Sus scrofa: one gene and its partners. The protein of the gene in region 2 purifies or fractionates together with the protein of the main gene of each other region. This does not show direct contact. Links are inferred from orthologs where the notes say so. Each region holds a gene or a part of one and is shown on either strand. Other genes may lie near its edges.

What was found.
Region 1: the proteins of RABGGTB (region 2) and PTP4A2 purify together in Homo sapiens (affinity purification with mass spectrometry; 3 studies listed by BioGRID and IntAct, counting the BioPlex papers as one, with this or other methods). This does not show direct contact. The link is inferred for Sus scrofa from reciprocal best matches to the Homo sapiens genes RABGGTB and PTP4A2.
Region 3: the proteins of RABGGTB (region 2) and RAP2C purify together in Homo sapiens (co-immunoprecipitation; 3 studies listed by BioGRID and IntAct, counting the BioPlex papers as one, with this or other methods). This does not show direct contact. The link is inferred for Sus scrofa from reciprocal best matches to the Homo sapiens genes RABGGTB and RAP2C.

What each region holds. Positions count from the first base shown.
Region 1 is NC_010448.4:88,428,534-88,434,614, reverse strand, and holds the start of PTP4A2 (protein tyrosine phosphatase type IVA 2), read left to right. Parts: upstream 1-2,286; 5' UTR 2,287-2,332; coding exon 2,333-2,428; intron 2,429-5,462; coding exon 5,463-5,555; intron 5,556-6,081.
Region 2 is NC_010448.4:137,530,121-137,536,171, forward strand, and holds the start of RABGGTB (geranylgeranyl transferase type-2 subunit beta), read right to left. Parts: upstream 4,013-6,051; 5' UTR 3,995-4,012; coding exon 3,992-3,994; intron 3,990-3,991; exon of another isoform or gene 3,909-3,989; intron 2,618-3,908; coding exon 2,510-2,617; intron 1,955-2,509; coding exon 1,757-1,954; intron 542-1,756; coding exon 436-541; intron 275-435; exon of another isoform or gene 154-274; intron 1-153. UniProt on the Homo sapiens protein: Catalyzes the transfer of a geranylgeranyl moiety from geranylgeranyl diphosphate to both cysteines of Rab proteins with the C-terminal sequence -XXCC, -XCXC and -CCXX, such as RAB1A, RAB3A, RAB5A and RAB7A.
Region 3 is NC_010461.5:108,344,516-108,350,510, forward strand, and holds the start of RAP2C (ras-related protein Rap-2c), read right to left. Parts: upstream 3,918-5,995; 5' UTR 3,804-3,917; intron 2,404-3,803; exon of another isoform or gene 2,315-2,403; intron 2,190-2,314; 5' UTR 1,642-2,189; coding exon 1,369-1,641; intron 1-1,368. UniProt on the Homo sapiens protein: Small GTP-binding protein which cycles between a GDP-bound inactive and a GTP-bound active form. May play a role in cytoskeletal rearrangements and regulate cell spreading through activation of the effector TNIK.

The DNA of each region.
Region 1 (6,081 bases), about 49 Mb from region 2:
CGACCAAGGCCAGGGATTGAACCCTCAACCTCATGGTTCCTAGACAGATTCGTTAACCACTGCCACGATGGGAATTCCCTATTTCAGTTTTACACTTGTGTCTGTGGTAATATAGTCAAAAGTATCTAATTTATAAAATAAAATGCCATAAGAATCTCATAAAAAGAAGACTTGAAGAGAGATGATTAGGCTTGAAAGTTTGAGGCTTAGATTTGTCTTTATCTGTTTCAGTTTTTTTTTTTTTTTTTGTCTTTTTAGGGCCATACCCACAGCATATGGAGGTTCCTAGGCTAGGGGTCCAATCAGAGCTGTAGCTGCTGGCCTACACCACAGCCACAGCAATGCCAGATCCGAACCACATCTGTGACCTACACCACAGCTCATGGCAACTCTGGATCCCTGACCCACTGATCGAGGCCAGGAATGGAACCCGCATCCTCATGGATACTAGTTGGGTTTGTTAACTGCTGAGCCACGATGGGAACTCCTATCTGTTTCAGTTTTTTTTTCTTGCAAGTGCTTCTGTAGTTACTGTCTTTCATCAATTTGGTCACAGTCATCTTTTTTAGAGTTCTTAAATGAGCATTTATTGATGGCTTAGTTCAAAGAGGCAGGTAAAAGAAGTGAGACCTTGTTCCTGTTTTCAGAGGAATATATGATTATGTTGACACTGCCTGAGCCAGCTATACAGGCCTAAAATAATATTAAAATTTCTGCCACTTCAGTTTCTTGCCTTGTTTTTGGTAGGGATTAATATTTGGACAGGAGGATGCTGTGTGTATCATTGACCTTTAAATGCTTTTGGACTCTTTGAGGTAGTGATGTGAGAAATGGTAAGAAGGTAAACCTGACGAGAAATGAGAGAATGGGAATCATACATTAATTGAGTCAGCTGGCATTTTGGTACCTTGGAAAAAATGCAGGACTAACAGAAGACTTGGGTTTGAATTTGGGCTCAACTAACTTACTTACCTTAGATAAATCACTTTTCTCATTCCTCATAGGTAGTAAAAACTGCTCAGAATTGTGAGGAAAAAAGACAACTTTTTGAAAGTACTTTATGAACTGATGTAATAATTGGGGCCAATGCATATATTTTGAATAGAAAGAATTAAATCCTCAAAGGAGAATTTTGGTAAATGATCTTTCAGCCATTTACAGATGGGTATGATTTTATGCAAAGTACTTAACCATCAAAATAGAAAAATAAGATCACTGTGAACTTTATGAAAAAGAGTCCATGGGGAAAGCCTTCTCGAAGTATTTTTTAATCATTTAAAAATGACTTAAAATGGGAGTTCCCTTGTGGCACAGTGGTTGTTAAGGATTCCATGTTGTCACTATGGCAGCTCAGGTCGATATTGTGGCGCAGGTTCAATACCTGACTCAAGAACTTCCATATACTGCAAGTGCGGCCAAAAAAAAAAAAAAAAAAGATATAAAATGAATTTAGAAATTCAGTCATTTTAAAATGATAGAAACAATCTTATTAGTATGGAAACTTTATTGAACCTCATTTTGAAAAAAGACATACTTTACTTTTGAATCTATTTTAAAACTCTTGGTGTATGCTTTTATCCTATTCTCGATAGATGTCAGTAGTTTAGAGTTGGTGCTATGTCAGATGTCTTTGGGCTCATAAAGAATGTATTCTTGACTTTGGGTATTGTGTTTACTATGCTGTCAACCTCCAGTTCATTTAACTTATGCTTTTCTCCTCCAGGTTTTTCGTTGGAATATACGTTGCACATTTATGGCGATTCTGAGCGTGAGGGCAGACTTCTGCCAGGCTCAGCACAGCATTTCCGCTGACAAGTGAGCTTGGAGGTTCAATGTGCCATAATTAACATTGCCTTGAAGACTCTGGACACCGAGACTGGCCTCAGAAATAGTTGGCTTTTTTTTTTTTTTTTTTTTAATTGCAAGCATATTTCTTTTAATGACTCCAGTAAAATTAAGCATCAAGTAAACAAAAGTGGAAAGCGACCTACACTTTTAACTTGTCTCACTAGTGCCTAAATGTAGTAAAGGCTGCTTAAGTTTTGTATGTAGTTGGATTTTTTTGGAGTCCGAAGGTATCCATCAGCAGACATCGAGGCCCAGATTGAATTTGGATTCAAGTGGATTCTAAATACTTCTGCTTATCTTGAAGAGAGAAGCTTCTTAAAGAATAAACAAGTTGAATAGAGAGAACACTGATTGATAATAGGCATTTTAGTGGTCTTTTTAATGTTTTCTGCTGTGAAACATTTCAAGATTTATTGATTTTTTTTTTTTTTTCATTTTCCCCATCACTTTCACACACGCACACTCACACTTTTTATTTGCCATAATGAACCGTCCAGCCCCTGTGGAGATCTCCTATGAGAACATGCGTTTTCTGATAACCCACAACCCTACCAATGCTACCCTCAACAAGTTCACAGAGGTAAGATTGTAGCATGGTCTATCTTTTGGATTGATTTATAGGTAAAATCCCATTAAAGATTAAAAACCATTGTAAAGAAATCTGTGATTAGGGTGTGGATGGTCATTTGATCAATCTTTGAATTGAATTGAATTAGTTACAACAGATTTTTAAAAGAATGTTTAAGGAAATTGGGGAGATCTTAGAGATTACTTAGTACTGTGTTTTTTTCCTTATATCCTTTCAACATTATTACCATTTCTTTTGTTATGCTTTAATATTAAAGATAATTAATATTGAACGCTTAGTAACACCAGCACTACAATAAGCAGTTTTATGCATTATATCATTTACTCCTAATAACCCTATGAGGTTGAGGTATGGGTACTATTATTATTTATATCCTATAAATGAGGAAACTGAGGGTCACAGTGATTTAGCAGTTTGTCTAAAGGCATGCAGTATGTGGTAGAACTATCTCTGACACTGAAGTCTATTTCTACCTCACATGTTCTAAAACCACTTTTGATGAAAAGCTACCCTAGAATTACGTAGCAGTAGTAACCATCATGTACAAGGGTTCAGAAACCTAGGGGAAGGAAAGGTATTAGAGGTAGGTGTTTTTTTTTGTTTTTTTTTTTTTCTTTTCTTTTCTTTTCTTTTTAGTGCTGCACTCGCGGCATATGGAGGGTCCCAGGCTAGGGGTTGAATTGGAGCTGTAGCTGCTGGCCTACACCACGGCCATAGCAGTGCCAAATCTGAGCCGTGTCTGTGACCTACACCATAGCTTATGGCAACGCCAGATCCTTAACCCACTGAGGGAGGCCAGGGATTGAACCTGCAACCTCATGGTTCCTAGTCTTGGATTCATTTCTGCTGCGCCACAATGGGAATTCCTTAGAGGTAGCATTTTTTGGTCAGATCTTGAATTTTTTTCTATTGGTAGTAGTAAGGAAATTTTTGTACTTAAACATTTGAATGTTAGCTTTTTAATCATTCTCAAGTTTTTCAGTCTCAGTGTGATTTCTGTTGATGTATTTATGGAGGAGACTTAGAGAGCTAGATGAACTCCTAGAGATTCTAAATCTATCCTTCTCACTTGACATATGGCAGAAAACTGAGTTCAGAAGAGGTTTTGACTTGCGGAAGATCACAGATATTTACCATAAAAAATTCTGCCATAACCTTTCAGTGAACAGCTACTGTGGAGTTCTTTTAATGGGCTTTTATTTGTAGTTAAAAACACTTTTTAAATTCCTTACTCAATATATAATAACTTGAGTTTCTAAGAAAGTCTTTATAAGAAAATCTTTCTGTGAAAAGGAAAGTCCTTTAGCAATTAAAATAAACTTGTCTCTTTAGGTAACCAAATGATGACGCTTCTTGTAGGATATCACTGTTGCTACTTATTTATACTTTTAATTCTCTGAGCTTCTTAACTTTGTGTACACAGTGTACAAGTGGTTCCAGGCCTTTATGCCCTCAGGTTGTTCAGTCACCTTTAAGCCTGGCTGAATTACGTGATACTATTTTCAGCCTGTGGATTCCTTGGTCATAGACTCCTGCAACTATAAAAAGATGTTGGTGGCCCCTTGAAGTTAGGTAGTTACTGGATCAGGCATTACTGTAGGACAATTTAAAGGAGCAAGGCGTCTGGCTATAACTGTGTTAGTTGGCTTTGTAATATAATATCACTTTTCCCCCCTTTTTTGGCCTCCCTGTAGCATATGGAGGTCCCGGGCCAGGGGTCAGATATGAGCCACAGCTGTGACCTAAGCCACAGCTGCAGCAATGCTGGATCCTTAATCCACTGTGTTGGGCTGGGGAATCAAACCTGTGTCCCACTGCTCCCAAGATGCTGCTGATCATGTTGTGCCACAGCAGGAACTCCATAATACCACTTTTTAATCTTAATTTCTGAATTACTTTTACTTGTTTCTTTAAATTAAAGCGGTTAACTACTTAGTATATAAAATAACAGAAGGTACAAATAAAAGACAATTTAAAATACTTAATTGTTAATACCTGGCTTTTACACGTTTTTATTTGTATATATGGATATATATAGATAGATAGGTAGGATCACACTGTATTGAAAAAAAATTTTTCTCCCGGAGTTCCCGTCGTGGCACAGTGGTTAACGAATAACCTCATGGTTAACCTCATGGACTAGGAACCATGAGGTTGTGGGCTCAATCCCTGGCCTTGCTCAGTGGGTTAAGGATCCGGCGTTGCCATGGGCTGTGGTGTAGGCTGGCAGCTACAGCTCCGATTAGACCCCTAGCCCGGGAACCTCCATATGCCACGGGAGCGGCCCAAGAAATGGCAAAAAAGACAAAAAAAAAAAAAAAAAATTTCTCCCAACCCCTCATTTTTTTTGTAGCTGTCACAGTTCTCTGTATGGAAATGCTGTACTTTCTTTAACCATTCAGCTATTTTTGGACCATTTATGTTTCTAGCTTTTTATCATCCAAACAACCTCTGTTGAAACATGCTGGTACCTAAATCTTTGTATATATCTTTAATTATTTCACTAGTATAAATTCCCAGAAGTAGAATTTCTAGGTCAAAGTGTGTGTGCTTTTAAAGTTTTTGTGTTATGCTACCAAATTGCCCTTTATAAAGGTGGGTTCTAATGATTCTTCCACTGTTATTGGAAGAGTGTCCATTATATATGTTGTTACAATGAGAATGATTTTGATCTTTGTCTAAGAATCAGACCTCCCTTCAGTTTACAAGAGTATATTTTTAAAGCTTTGATTGCAATTCTTAAAAAGTTTCATGGGAGTTCCTGTTGTGGCTCATGGAAATGAACCCGACTAGTATCCATGAGGATACAAGTTCGATCCCTGGCCTCACTCAGTGGGATAAGGATCCAGCAACAGCTGTGGTGTAGGTTGCAGATGTGGCTTGGATCTGGTATTGCTGTGGTGTTGACTGGCAGCTGTAGCTCTGATTCGACCCCTAGCCTGGGAACTTCCATATGCTTCACCTGTGGCCCTGAAAAACAAAACAAAACAAAACAAAATTTCCTTATGTTTGTTTTTCTTTAAAGGAACTTAAGAAGTATGGAGTGACAACTTTGGTTCGAGTTTGTGATGCTACATATGATAAAGCACCAGTTGAAAAGGAAGGAATCCACGTTCTAGTGAGTGTGTAGTGTTTTAATTTTTCACTACAGACAAGTTGTACCTTTTAACCATAAATATGTTTAAAATTTGGCAGTCAGAGTTTGCTTTCTAAACTTGTAGGAGATACAGTGATTTTAGCAATCTATTAAAATTCCTTTGGATTACCAGTTTTTTTTCATTTGTGCCCTTAATGTGTAAAGTATTTTCACCAAATAAAAAGCAAAATTTAGTGCATACTTAGTTCAAGAAAATCGAAATTTCATTTTGTTTTCTCTAGGAAGTTAATACAATATTTGCCATTTGTTTCTAGGCTACTAGTTTGAATATAACTGAAAGTAATTTCCATGAGATGTTCTTAAATCACATGGAAATATTCTCTCTGACTTAGCAAGTACAAATTGGTTACTTACTATTTTGTGGATAATTTATAGAGCACAAAAAGGTGGGAGAAGAAGATAAGAAGAGAAAGGGGTAAGGCACTTTGCTTCAGAGTAATTAGCATAGTTTCTGACACTTGATGGGTTTCTAAGAAGCTTTTGTAAG
Region 2 (6,051 bases):
AGATTATCTACATTTATCAAGTAAAATACTATTCCCTCCCTCCACTCAAATATTCAGTAAGTTTGTAAAGTTTTTTGACTATTTTTTCCATGCAAGTATTTTTTAAAAAACTTTACAAAGCCACCAAATATTGGGGAAAAAAATTTCACCTACCTTATCTTTTAGACTGGCCCCCTCTGTTCCAGTACTCCTGTATGCTGATATAACTAGCACAGTGCATGCTGGAACTTCCAGCAGACCATTAACTCCAGTTAGACCAGCTGCTTAGTGGGACCTGAAAAGATGAAAAACTTAAAAATCTCCTTATAAGTTTTTAGCAAAGCCCCCAATTCATCATACTTTAGAATTTGTAACAAAGCTTATTTCTATGATATACACCAAAGCAGGACATTTTTACATTGGTATTTTGGATGCAATGAATTAAAGGAACATTACCCCAAATATCTCCAGCAAAAGAACCATCTTCTTTTTGTAGACTCTGAACATATTCCACAACTTTATTTACATCAATAACATTAATACTATCATAAAGAGTAAGGATCTGTAATAAAAACAAACCAAAGTAAATACACCTCTTCAACACTGCTAAGTTTGTTCTAATGTTCTTCCTCAACTACCTTAAGTTGTTAAGCATGTCCCTAAGCATTGTGAACTCTTTTCAAACATGCACTTATCTTCTACTATGCAATAAAATTACAGGTATTATCAATACAACCCTTTAACCACAAAGTATTATTTTTTACTTACAAACTGTCAACTCAGCACTCCAAGATTCATATAAACTAATGTATACAGACTTTAAATCTTTGTGATCTTCACTAATACCACAATTTAAACTTCATGGAAAAGAGCACAGTGGTGAAATGGCAGAGTACATGCAGGGAACCACAGGCATCTTGTATTGCCAGAAATAAAGCAAGATGAGAATAGCAAGGGAGGAAATAGCCAGCCTTGGAGGGAATCAAATGCCATGCAGGAAGGTTTTGCAACATAAGAAATAGCTGAATGAAGGAGGCTTCTACACATATGGTAAACGGGCTTTGGCCAATTTATATAATCCGTTATGTTATTCTCTTTGAATATGTTCCACATGAAATTCTGTAGAAAATACTACTTGCTGGAGTTCCTGTTGTGGCACAGCAGAAAAGAATCTGACTAGGAACCATGGTTTCAGATTCAATCCCTGGCCTCGCTCAGTGGGTTAAGGATCGGGTGTTGCCGTGGGCTGTGGTATAGGTGGCAGATGTCACTCAGATCCTAAGTTGCTGTACCTGTGCCGTAGACTGAAAGCTGTAGCTCTAATTTGACCCCTAGCCTGGGAAGCTCCACATGCTGTGGGTGTAACCCTATAAAGACCAAAAAAAAAAAAAAGAAAATACTACTTTCTTTGAGAAATGCTAGTTTCTATTATAAGACTTAGGTTATATCTTTCAGGATAGGATACAATATGCTAATAAACCAGAGTTCCATGGCTTAAACAAAGATTTTTCTTGCTTAAAACAAAAACACGTCCACTGACGATTTCTCAAATATTTACATATACTGAAAATAAATACTTTACCAAGGTCTCAGTGTAATTTTAGAGTTACATCAACTTCGGGTTCAGCTAATACATGCCATCACATCATTGACCTTGTAGAATAGATGTCATATGAAAAGATACTGGTTTCTCTCACCTTCCTAATACCTAGTTTCAATTTCCCCACTCTCAGGTAAGAGAATAAACTATCATGGCTGCTTAGTTTTTAGTATTTACCTGGACAGCACTAAGAGTATATAAAAGATGCGGATCATGTCCAATGCTAGCACTTATTCCACCACACTCGTGTTGACACGACTTAATAAATGCCAAAATTTCTTCTCTATTCATACGGTGTAGTTGTCCCATGAGATCCATTACGGTCAGACCCCAATAGATTCCACTCATTCTCAGATATTCAGACATACAGTATTCCTAAAATATAGAATTACTTTACTGTGTTAGTTTGAATTGATGCCAGCTTAGATACTGAACACACAAAGCCCTACAGCCACTGTTACACCGGTAAAATATCTACTTCCAATTAAGTTGTTCATTAATTTTTTCTAAGACTGTCCCAGAGAGGAAAACTTGGAAAGCCATTCTTCAGGGCTGAACTTTTTCAAGGTCTCAGAGTAATTCTAGAGCTTTAGTGTTACTACACATCACTGTAAACTCAGGTAATACATGCCAACACATCATTGACCTTGAAAATATTGTCTAAACTACAAAAATAGTAATCTAGTCCGTACTTCATAATTCATACAGATCTGGGCCGAATGGGAATCTACTTTGCCTACCAAAGTAAGAAACATGGTTAATTCCCATGGTCCCTCAACAGATATCCAAAGGTGCATTCACTATACTCAAGGATACAGCTTCAGGCTTTGGCACGCAGGAGTTAGATACCAACATGGTCCATACTGATCTATTTACAGAATGGTCTACATCTTTAAGAGTATAAACTTTTCAACATAAAAGCATACATACGTAATCATCTTTCTTTGAGCCATAGGATGCAATATAATCTGCATGCTTCTCCAGGAATAGGGTGTCAGGTGCATCTGACTTGATAATGACATCCTTCTGCGGTGTACCCTTCCACAATAAATTGATTTCATAAGTTATCTCTTAATATTTGACCCCAGAGCATGTGTTCAATATACATCTGAACTTTTTATTTCGTGTTGCCAAATGAAAACTTTCAATTTAAAATTATCTGGCCAAGAAAAACCAAGGCACTAAAGTCCTTCATAAAGATCCAAGTATTTTTCAGGTCTCAGAGTAATTCTAGAGCTAAAGTAGTACTAATCAACTTTAGATTCAGAATACATGCCAGCTCATCATCGACCCAAAAATACTACCTTCATCTGTCTTTATCTTTCACACAGAACACCAAAATAAAATAAAAATCTATTTATTCCATAATTTGAGTTAAGTGCTTTAATGAAGTTTAACTCTAGAAATTGTATAAATTCTGGGAACTTCGAAGCACCTTCCATATACCTCAAAGGTTATTTATCAAGGAAGCAGTCCCTTTAGACTCACCTTCTCCAGCTTTAGCCTGTTTCCCCAAATGCAACAAGTCCCCAAGGGACGAGAATGCTGCTCTAGTTATCCACATTTCTGATCTATATCTAAGACTGTACTTTACTGTTTTATTTGAAGTAGGTCACAACAGTTATCAATAATAAAATAGTGAATTTCTCAGAGTTCCCGTTGTGGCTCAGCAGAAAGAATCCAACTAGCATCCATGAGGATGTGGGTTCGATCTCTGGCCTTCCTCATTGGGTTAGGGATCAGGCACTGCTCCGAGTTGTGTAGGTCGCAGATTAGGCCTGGATCCCACATTGCTGTGGCTGTATCATAAGCCAGCAGCTACAGTTCTGATTGGACCCCTAGCCTGGTAACTTTCCTATGCCATGGATGCAGCCCTAAAAAGAAAACAAAACAAAACAAAAAAATAATAGTCAATTTCTTGTCTAGCCCATTGCCCATTAAAATTTACTAGGTCAACAAGATCGTACCGCTAATCATTCTAAAGATCTTAAATAATTCTTTTTTAATTTTATTACTCCATTTATTACATTGGATAATAATTCTAACGCATACATATATATATATATATATATATGCTTCAACCTACATATAGAAGGAAAAAGGTACTACCGACTTGCCCAGTTTTTAGGAGGAAATTAAGAAATCCGGTTGTTGAACCAGGAGGCCCGACCGATAGCAGGAAGTCTGAATAAAATCAGAGGCGGCAACGACGCATGCAAGGCCTGCAGAAAACGCTGAATAATACTTCACCCTCTCTCCCGCTCTCAAAAATACTCCCAAGACCTCTATCTTAACGCGACCATTCTCCAATATTTAGTAAACAACCCACCGGTGACTAAAATGCTTAATATCACCCTTCCCAGGCTCCTCCCGAGCCATCCGGACAGCAATGCAATACACGTCCACACTCACCATGTCTGACAGCGAAAAGAGAACTTGGCTCTTTCGTGGGCGGATTTAGGCAGCACGCGCCTGCCCAGAAGCGTCTCTCAGGTCCCCTCCGCGCCCAGACTTAGGTGACCACATTCCCGCCTGAAGGAAAGAGGGATCCCGAGGCTGCTCTAGGACCCCATCGGCTGCTCATGGCTGTCCTCGCTGCCTGTGCTTAAAGTCTCTAAGCCCGTTTTCTTGTCCCTTAAACACCGCCGTTTTATCTAAAACTGTTTTAAGTAATGTTTAAATATCTGCATAACTTTTAAGAAATCGTTTATTGTTGAGGATCTTTGAAATGCCTGGTAATAAATAGAGTTGCACCGTAATTACGTGTGCAATAAATATTCACATTCAGCTCTTATTAGCTAACTCTCACCTACTCCCTCCTCTTTCAGGAAGTTCTAATATTTGCAATATTTGGAGATTGTTTTTGAAAAGGAAACACCGTTATGCTTCTTATAAGCTTTCCATCGAATTCAGCTTTGCTAGGTGTGTTAATGCAGCTATTTGTAACTGTGCTTTCTTAGGACTTTAATCCTTAAAAGTATTTTGAGCACCTACCAGAAAATACTGGCACCTACTCTTAAATTTTTTTTTTTTTCAGGAGTTCCCATCATGGCGAAGCAGAAACAAACCCAACTAGGAACCACGAGGTTGTGGATTATATGCCTGGCTTCGCTCAGTGGGTTAAGGATCCAGCGTTGCCTCCACTGGAGGTGTGGTGTAGGTCGCAGACCTTGCTCCGCTGGGATCTGGCTTGCCTGTGGCGTAGGCTGGCAGCTATGGCTCCAATTAGACCCCTAACGTGGGAACGTCCATATGCCAAGGGTGTGGCCCTCAAAAGACGAAAAAAAAAAACCTGAAAAGTAAGAATTTGGGGAAGAATTCCTTACGCAGAGATATGTGTGAGCTATCAATAACTGAGAAAATATTGAATCCACTATGATGATAGATTTCATTATTTCTCTCTTAGTTCAATTGCTATCCCCAGGTATAGTTTGAGGCTAGGATAACATGTATTACTAAATGCATGTTAAGTTTAGAACTATCTATTTCTGGTGAGTCAAGCCACTTATCATTAAGTGATGATGTTTCTAGCCCTAATAATTTTTATCTTAAAAATTATTCCTTGGGAGTTCCCGTCATGGCTCAGTGGAACCATGAAGTTGTGGGTTTGATCCCTGGCCTCGCTCAGTGGGTTGAGGATCCGGCATTGCCGTGAGCTGTGGTGTAGACTGCAGACATGGCTCAGATCTTGCACTGCTGTGGCTCTGGCCTAGGCCTGAAGCTACAGCTTGGATTCGACCCCTAGCCTAGGAACCTCCATATGCTGTCAGTGTGGCCCCAGAAAAGACCCCTCCCCCCAGAAAAATTCTTCTTTGGAGTTCCTGTCGTGGCTCAGTGGTTAACAAACCTGTCTACTATCTGTGGGTTCACAGGTTTGATCCCTGGCCTTGCTCAGTGTGTTAAGGATCCTGCATTGCTGTGAGCTGTGGTGTAGGTCACAGATGTGGCTTGGATCTGACATTGCTGTGGCTGTGGTGTAGACCAGCAGTTACACCTCCAATTGGACCCTAGCACCACATGCTGCAGGTGCAACCCTGAATAGACAAAAGACCACAAAAAGTCTTCCTTGAAAGTTCCTTTATGGCACAGCAGGTTAAGGATCTGGCCTTGTCACTGCAGCAGTTTGAGTCCCCGCTCCAGTGTGGGTTTGGTCCCTGGCCCAGAAATTTCTATATGCCATGGGCACAACCAAAAAAAAAAAAAAAAAAGTCTATCTTGTTAAATGGTGCTGCCAAAAAATCAATCACTCAATCTGAGAAAGATATCAATCTGAGAAAGATATGGAATTTTTTATTAGAGTTAAATTTGAGATGTTATAACTTGGGAAGAGCAACTTGGAAATCTCTGAGAGCTGTTCTGCCCACAGTCAAAGCACAGTTAAATGCTGGTTTTCTGTGGGTTTTTTTTTCTTTTTAGGTCCATACCTGTAGAAGGGCCATATGGAAGTTTCCAGGCTAGGGGTCAAATCTGAG
Region 3 (5,995 bases), on a different chromosome or scaffold from region 2:
AAGTCGCCATCCAAATAATAGCAGTTTTTCACTCCCTATTGATGTGTATAAACGAAGTAGATATAATGGAAATCTTATGAAAAACCCTTCAAAAGACTGCCAGCCTCAAGAGAGGCAGCTAATAGAATAACGAACGTCCAGAGGATCCTTTAGAAGGAAAACGGCTGTCAAATAGCACCTTTAGCACATGGGTACTTCTGGAGAAAAATGCTTTTGCAACAGTAGTGCTTTGGAATTTAAGCCTCCACGAGTGAACTTTAGTTTGGTCACAATAACTCTGATTAATTTACCCAGAACTTACTATCCTTAAAAGAAAAGAAAAAAATCCTCAAGTTGCTATTTCTGGTTAGTGGAAAAGTTCACTATGGTACTTTAAGTTAAAACACTAAGAAAAGTGGAATTAGCACATTGGATTGGACAAAGCACTAAATGTCTCTTAAGTAAGCAACATTAAGTGCGTACCTTTAAACGCAGAAAAAAACCATCCATTTCCTAAATCAATGGAGGTCAATATAATGGGTCAATATGAGGTTATTTATTTTCAAGAATAAATAGCAACATTTATCGCATCTCCTAAAATAATGTTAAACCTCCAGTCTGTCTCCCAGCGAAGGACAGGACAGATTTGCCAAAGAAAGAGGATCACCTCCAGTTTGGCCACCCAGCCAGGGGTTAGAAATCTGCCCTTGCTCAGTGTCCCCAGATCCACATATTCTCTACAAATAGAGTCAATGTTATCAGAAACAGTTTGGAAGAACTGCAAAAAAGGAGAGCTGTTCTAGATTTGTGTTTGTTATTAATTCTAGGTACCAGTCTTTTCAATGAGTAACTTCCCTTCACATGCCCCAAGTAAGTAAAATGCCTAGAAGGCAGGTCTTGAGTTCTTCATCTTGCAGCACTAAGATAGAGAAATCTGGTTGAGAGACTTAGGTGAGAACAGAGGGGAGGAAGGGACGTAGACGCAGAGGAGTTATCTGTGCAACAGATAATCGGCTCCAAATAATTTTCTTTCCAAAGTGCTCTATCTGCCCGAGATTATCTTTGAAACGTTGTTCTGCTGAGTACATTAACCAAGACCTGGTGAGGTGAACGAGCAACTTCAGATGGTTATATGCCAGGCTAAATATACACTGGCTGACATGTCTTTTTCACTTCTCTTTCACTCGAAAATAACTTTAAAATATTTGTGAACGGTAGTGCCTTTAGTCCTCGCTATAGAAACAACTCGATGCTTTTCCGTGCCAGGAGAAACCTCAAAAATGCGCCATGTCTAACTTTCAAAAGCAAAACACAGTCATTTACGCAAGCAAACCAGAAGTAAATGTAGTTTACCACACCCCCTTCTAACAAATTACAAGACTTGGTTACCTGAAAAGACTGTTGATTAACCAGACTATAAACCAGGATGAAACCTTGGCCGTTTTTGATGTAGAGATCTCTCATGGAGGCAAACTGCTCAGTTCCTGCGGTGTCCAGAATTTCCAGCACGGAGGGGGAAGAGTCCACTTCGATCTCTTTGCGGTAGAAATCTTCAATGGTGGGGTCATATTTCTCAATGAAAGTCCCGGTGACAAACTGCACAGTAAGGGCAGATTTGCCAACCCCTCCGCTCCCTAACACCACTACCTTGTACTCCCGCATGAGTCTCTCCTTCACCAACTCCTACCAGAGGGAGGGAAAAATAACACCCCGCTCGCGGCGGCGCGGCTCGGGGAGGCGGAAGGTGGGCGGAAATCTGCGAACCCGGGAGGAGAGCGCAGAGCAGCCGAGGGCCCGACGGGGGAAGAAGAGGAAGTTAAAGGAGGGGGAGGGGAAAGAGCGAAGTGTCGGGGTGGGTGGGGATGGGATGGTAATGCCCTTCCTATAGGAACCGGAGCCCAGGCAGGGGGCGTGGGGAGAAGGCGAGCCCCGAAAAGCTGGGAGGCTGGGGAGGCGACACGCGCCCCCCGCCCCGGGAGGGAAGGGGTGGGCGCCGCAGGACAGACGGGGGGCCCCCCGCGGAAGGCGGGCGTCCGAGGAGCCCGCGGCCCGGGGCTGCCCCGCGCCCCTCCCCCGCCCTTCACACAAAGGGGCCCAGGGACCCCGCTTCCTGCTCGCGCCGCCGAGCCAGCCCAGGCCTGTGGGCTCCGCTCCAGTCGCTGCCGCCCGGGCGGGTCTCTGGGCCGCGGCTCCCGCGGGCGTCGTCCGGCCTGTGATGGGGGGGTGGGGGGCGGAGAGGGCGCGCGTTACCCGCCGGACCCCCGCCCGCCCCCGTCGGGCAGCCCGGGCGGCCGCCTCCCCCGGCTCCCACCCGGGCCCGGCCGCCCCCGCTTACCCTGCCGTCCGCACCCGCCCGGCCGCCCGGGAGGCTGTGTCACGCCAAGGCCATGGCCACTGGCCGGCTCCTCGGTCTCACCGCCGCCCCTGCGCTGCGGCTCGCGGAGGGGAAAGGGGCGGGGGCCGTCCGGCGGCGGCGGCGGCAGCGGCGGCGGCCGCTGGGACTCCAGGCGAACCCACCTCTTTTTTTTTTTTTTTTTTTTCTCACCCTCCCCCCACCCCCCCACCCCCAGCACACACCCGGAAGGGTTTCCCTGACACACTGGTGGAGGTGCCCCAGTTCCCTGAGACGGGACGGGATCACTTCCGGTGGGGAAAGTCCCACCTCTCCCGGGGCGAGCCGGGTGGCGCTGGGGCCGCGCCCTGCTGAGCGAGTCGGCCCAGGACGGTTTCGGGTCGGGGCTACGGCCTTGGCAAAGGGCCTGTCCGAGAACCTCCGGCGCCCTTCCTTTCTCTGCCTGCCCGCAACTGCTGTTCCTGCTGCTGCTGCTGCTGCTGCTGCTGCCGCTGCTGCTGCGGACAGTCCCACCCCCGAGCCCGCGGAAGCCCCTAGGAGTCTCAGCAGCCCCCGGCCCGGCCTGAGGACTTGATCCGCTGGTTGGCGGAGCTAAAGATCCGCACAACGCCTATCATCCCTGGACCAGAAGTCGCAGGGAAAATAAAACGGCCGAGAAAGTTGATGCTCTTTGCTGGTATTTTCATGCACTTGCTATTTTTCTAAGAAACGCGTGCACATTAGCCTTCGACTTCACGAATAGCTCGGATTTCATATGTGGTGTGTTTTATTTAGCTGTGCCTGACAGTTAACGCACACACACTCGGTACTTTTATCATCCGGTAAATCTGCCTTGACTCCACCAGCAAATGCCGAAGCCACTCCTTTCTTTCTTATCGCCAGGCTCGAAAACCAAAGGGATTAGGAGTAGCCTTTATGGGACTCTAACTCAGCTTTGTCCCTTTTGGAGTCCCCAGGCTTCGCAGCGGGGAAGAGTTGATTGGAAACTGTTTAGGCCTGCACGCTAACTTCTTTGAATCTTTTCATTATCTGCAGGCACAGCAATTTGCATGGCTGGCTCTTCCAAGTTAAAGTTTGTTTTAAGTCTTTGAAATTCAAAAGCAGAGGACTTAGTGCTAACCACTAAGTTTCTATTTTTAGATAAAATTGTTACTTTTTACATATCTTACCCTCTGCTAACTTTCTATTTGTAAACTTTGTGTCCGATCCACAGAGCCCCAGGGTCAGAAGCCTAGGTTATATTTTAGGAATGTCACTCCTTTTCTGATTCTAGCATGCACCCCGACGCCTGAAAGTCAGTGACCAGTCGAGTTAAAGCGACCCCAAATCCCTTACGTGGAAGCCTTAATGGCCTGACTGTATCAAAAGGGATTTGTTACCAAACCCAAATTGTGTAACATTAGAAAACAGGCAAATTACAGTCGTGTGAAATCCCACTGTCTCTCCCTGGGTGCTCCCCAATGTCACTTACAGTATCCAAGGGACAGTTACGTTCACTTTCTCCTCAGCCTAGGGCTGGTGCAATCTGTCCAGCGAAGTTCCCAGCTCTGGCTCCAGCTGGCCCGCGTCCCGCCTGATATCTGAGGCACTGCCCTCTGCTGGAAGAGGTTTGGTCTATGAATTATGAGTCTTCCCCATAGGTCACTGCTCCTTCCACACGTGCTGTTGCCGGATTTGGAGCTCTGCTGCCCATCTCCCTGTCTAGCTGTCTCCAGACTGTCTGGGGGGGGGGGGGATGGGGGGGGGGAAATCCATAGCCCTGTACCAGCCCTGCTTGGAACTGAGTCTGGAAATTCCTCCTCTGATCCAGCAATTAGTGTTGGGCAATTGTGGCAAGTCTGTGCTCTGTCACTAAACTGTCAAAACAGGCTGCTCTTCTTTTTGAGGTGGTCCCACTTGTTGGCAACTCTAATATCTCTGAATGTGTTGGCCAAACTATTTTGGAGAGAATTCTTTGTTTCTCCACACAGTGAAACATACTCCTTACCGAAGTACAGAGTCCTACTGGGACACTCTTATTGGCTACAGAATTGGCAAATGTCACACTCATTCTGATGACCCTTCTAAACTTTCTTAGAAAGTGTATTCATTACAGCAGCATTTTAGGAAAGCACACACTTGGAAGTAACTTAAGTCTCCTTCAACAGATGATTTAAAAAAGTAATGTGTGTACACACACACACGGAAACACTTGCAAGTAACCTAAATGTCCTTTGATAGACGATGTAAAAAATAATGTACACACACACACTTGGAAACACTCGAAAGTCACCTAAACATCCTTCACTAGATGATTTAAAAAATCATGCACGCGCACACACACACACTCACAAAATAGGAGACCATGCAGCTATTTAAAAGAGAAAAAGTAGATTTGTAAGTGCTGTTATGAAAAGACGGTCAAGGTATATTGTGAGGATGAAAAAAGTTAGATGCTGAGCAAAGAGATAGTTGCTCCCATTTATGTAAAATATGTGAGTGTGTGCAATATGTAATTACATAGCCATTAAAATCTGAAACAAAGGCATTAATTATTGGTGAGGGGTATTCTGAAAGGACTTTGATTTCTCCATATCATTTTAATTTCTAAGCCATGATCAGGTATTACTGGGGAAAAGAGGAATAAATATAATTTTATAATATTTTTAGAGAAGAAATATAAAATGTTGCTCATCGTTTCCTCCACCCCCCCCCAATATCCTGACTGTCTGGGGTCAGTGGGCAGGTCTGCCCAATTTAAACTCCCTCCTCCTGCCCATCCTGTCCTCCCAAACATCTCTATACTTAGAAAAGTATTTTCACATACATTATCTCATTAGACTCCAGTTGTTCACCCGTTTACTTTTATTAGGCAATGAGAGTATAAACACCAATTAGAAGAGGACAGCCCAGCAGTTGAGAGCCATGGGCCCCGAAGCAAGGCAGACAGGCCTTTCAAGGGCAACTCCTCCACCTCCTAGCTGTGGGACCTCGAGCAAGTGATTTCACTCCTCTGAACCTCAAACTCCTCACCTGGAAAATGGAGCTAATCATTTACCGTGGGAATGTAATGAATTATTACATGTAAAATGCTTAGCACAGTCCCTTGCTCATTATGAACCATCGAGAAATGCTAGCTATTTGGTTTTTATTTTAAAGATTTAACAAAGGTTTTTTTTTTTTTAAGAACAGCAAACACGGAGGAAAAAAAAAACAGAGCTTTAAAAGCCCAAGTATCTCCAAACAGCACAAAAATAACTCAGTTATTCTTTCCAAAGGTGTTTATTGTTAAAGTCTTCTTGTGTTTCCTTTCCCAGAAAAAAATACTTATATGCTGGCATATGAAGCCATCTTCTATATGTATTTTAAAAATTAATACAAAATTGATCTTACTATACACAGCATTCTGCACCTTGCTTTTTTCCGCTTATGAAATTTTTTTACATTTATGTTAAAATCCTTCTCATAAATATTGCTGAATTGTCCTTTGAAAAGATCACACCAATTCACATTCCCTACCAAGGCAGTATAGCCAACACAGACAAGTGTTGTTTCCTTACAACCTCACCCCAGGCATTACTAATTGTTGCCTCATTTTACTGCTATCATCATTTGCTTTAGGGTATTTTCAGGACTGACAAATGCAGGCTGGTATTGTACAAGGAATCTGCACGTCAGTCAGAC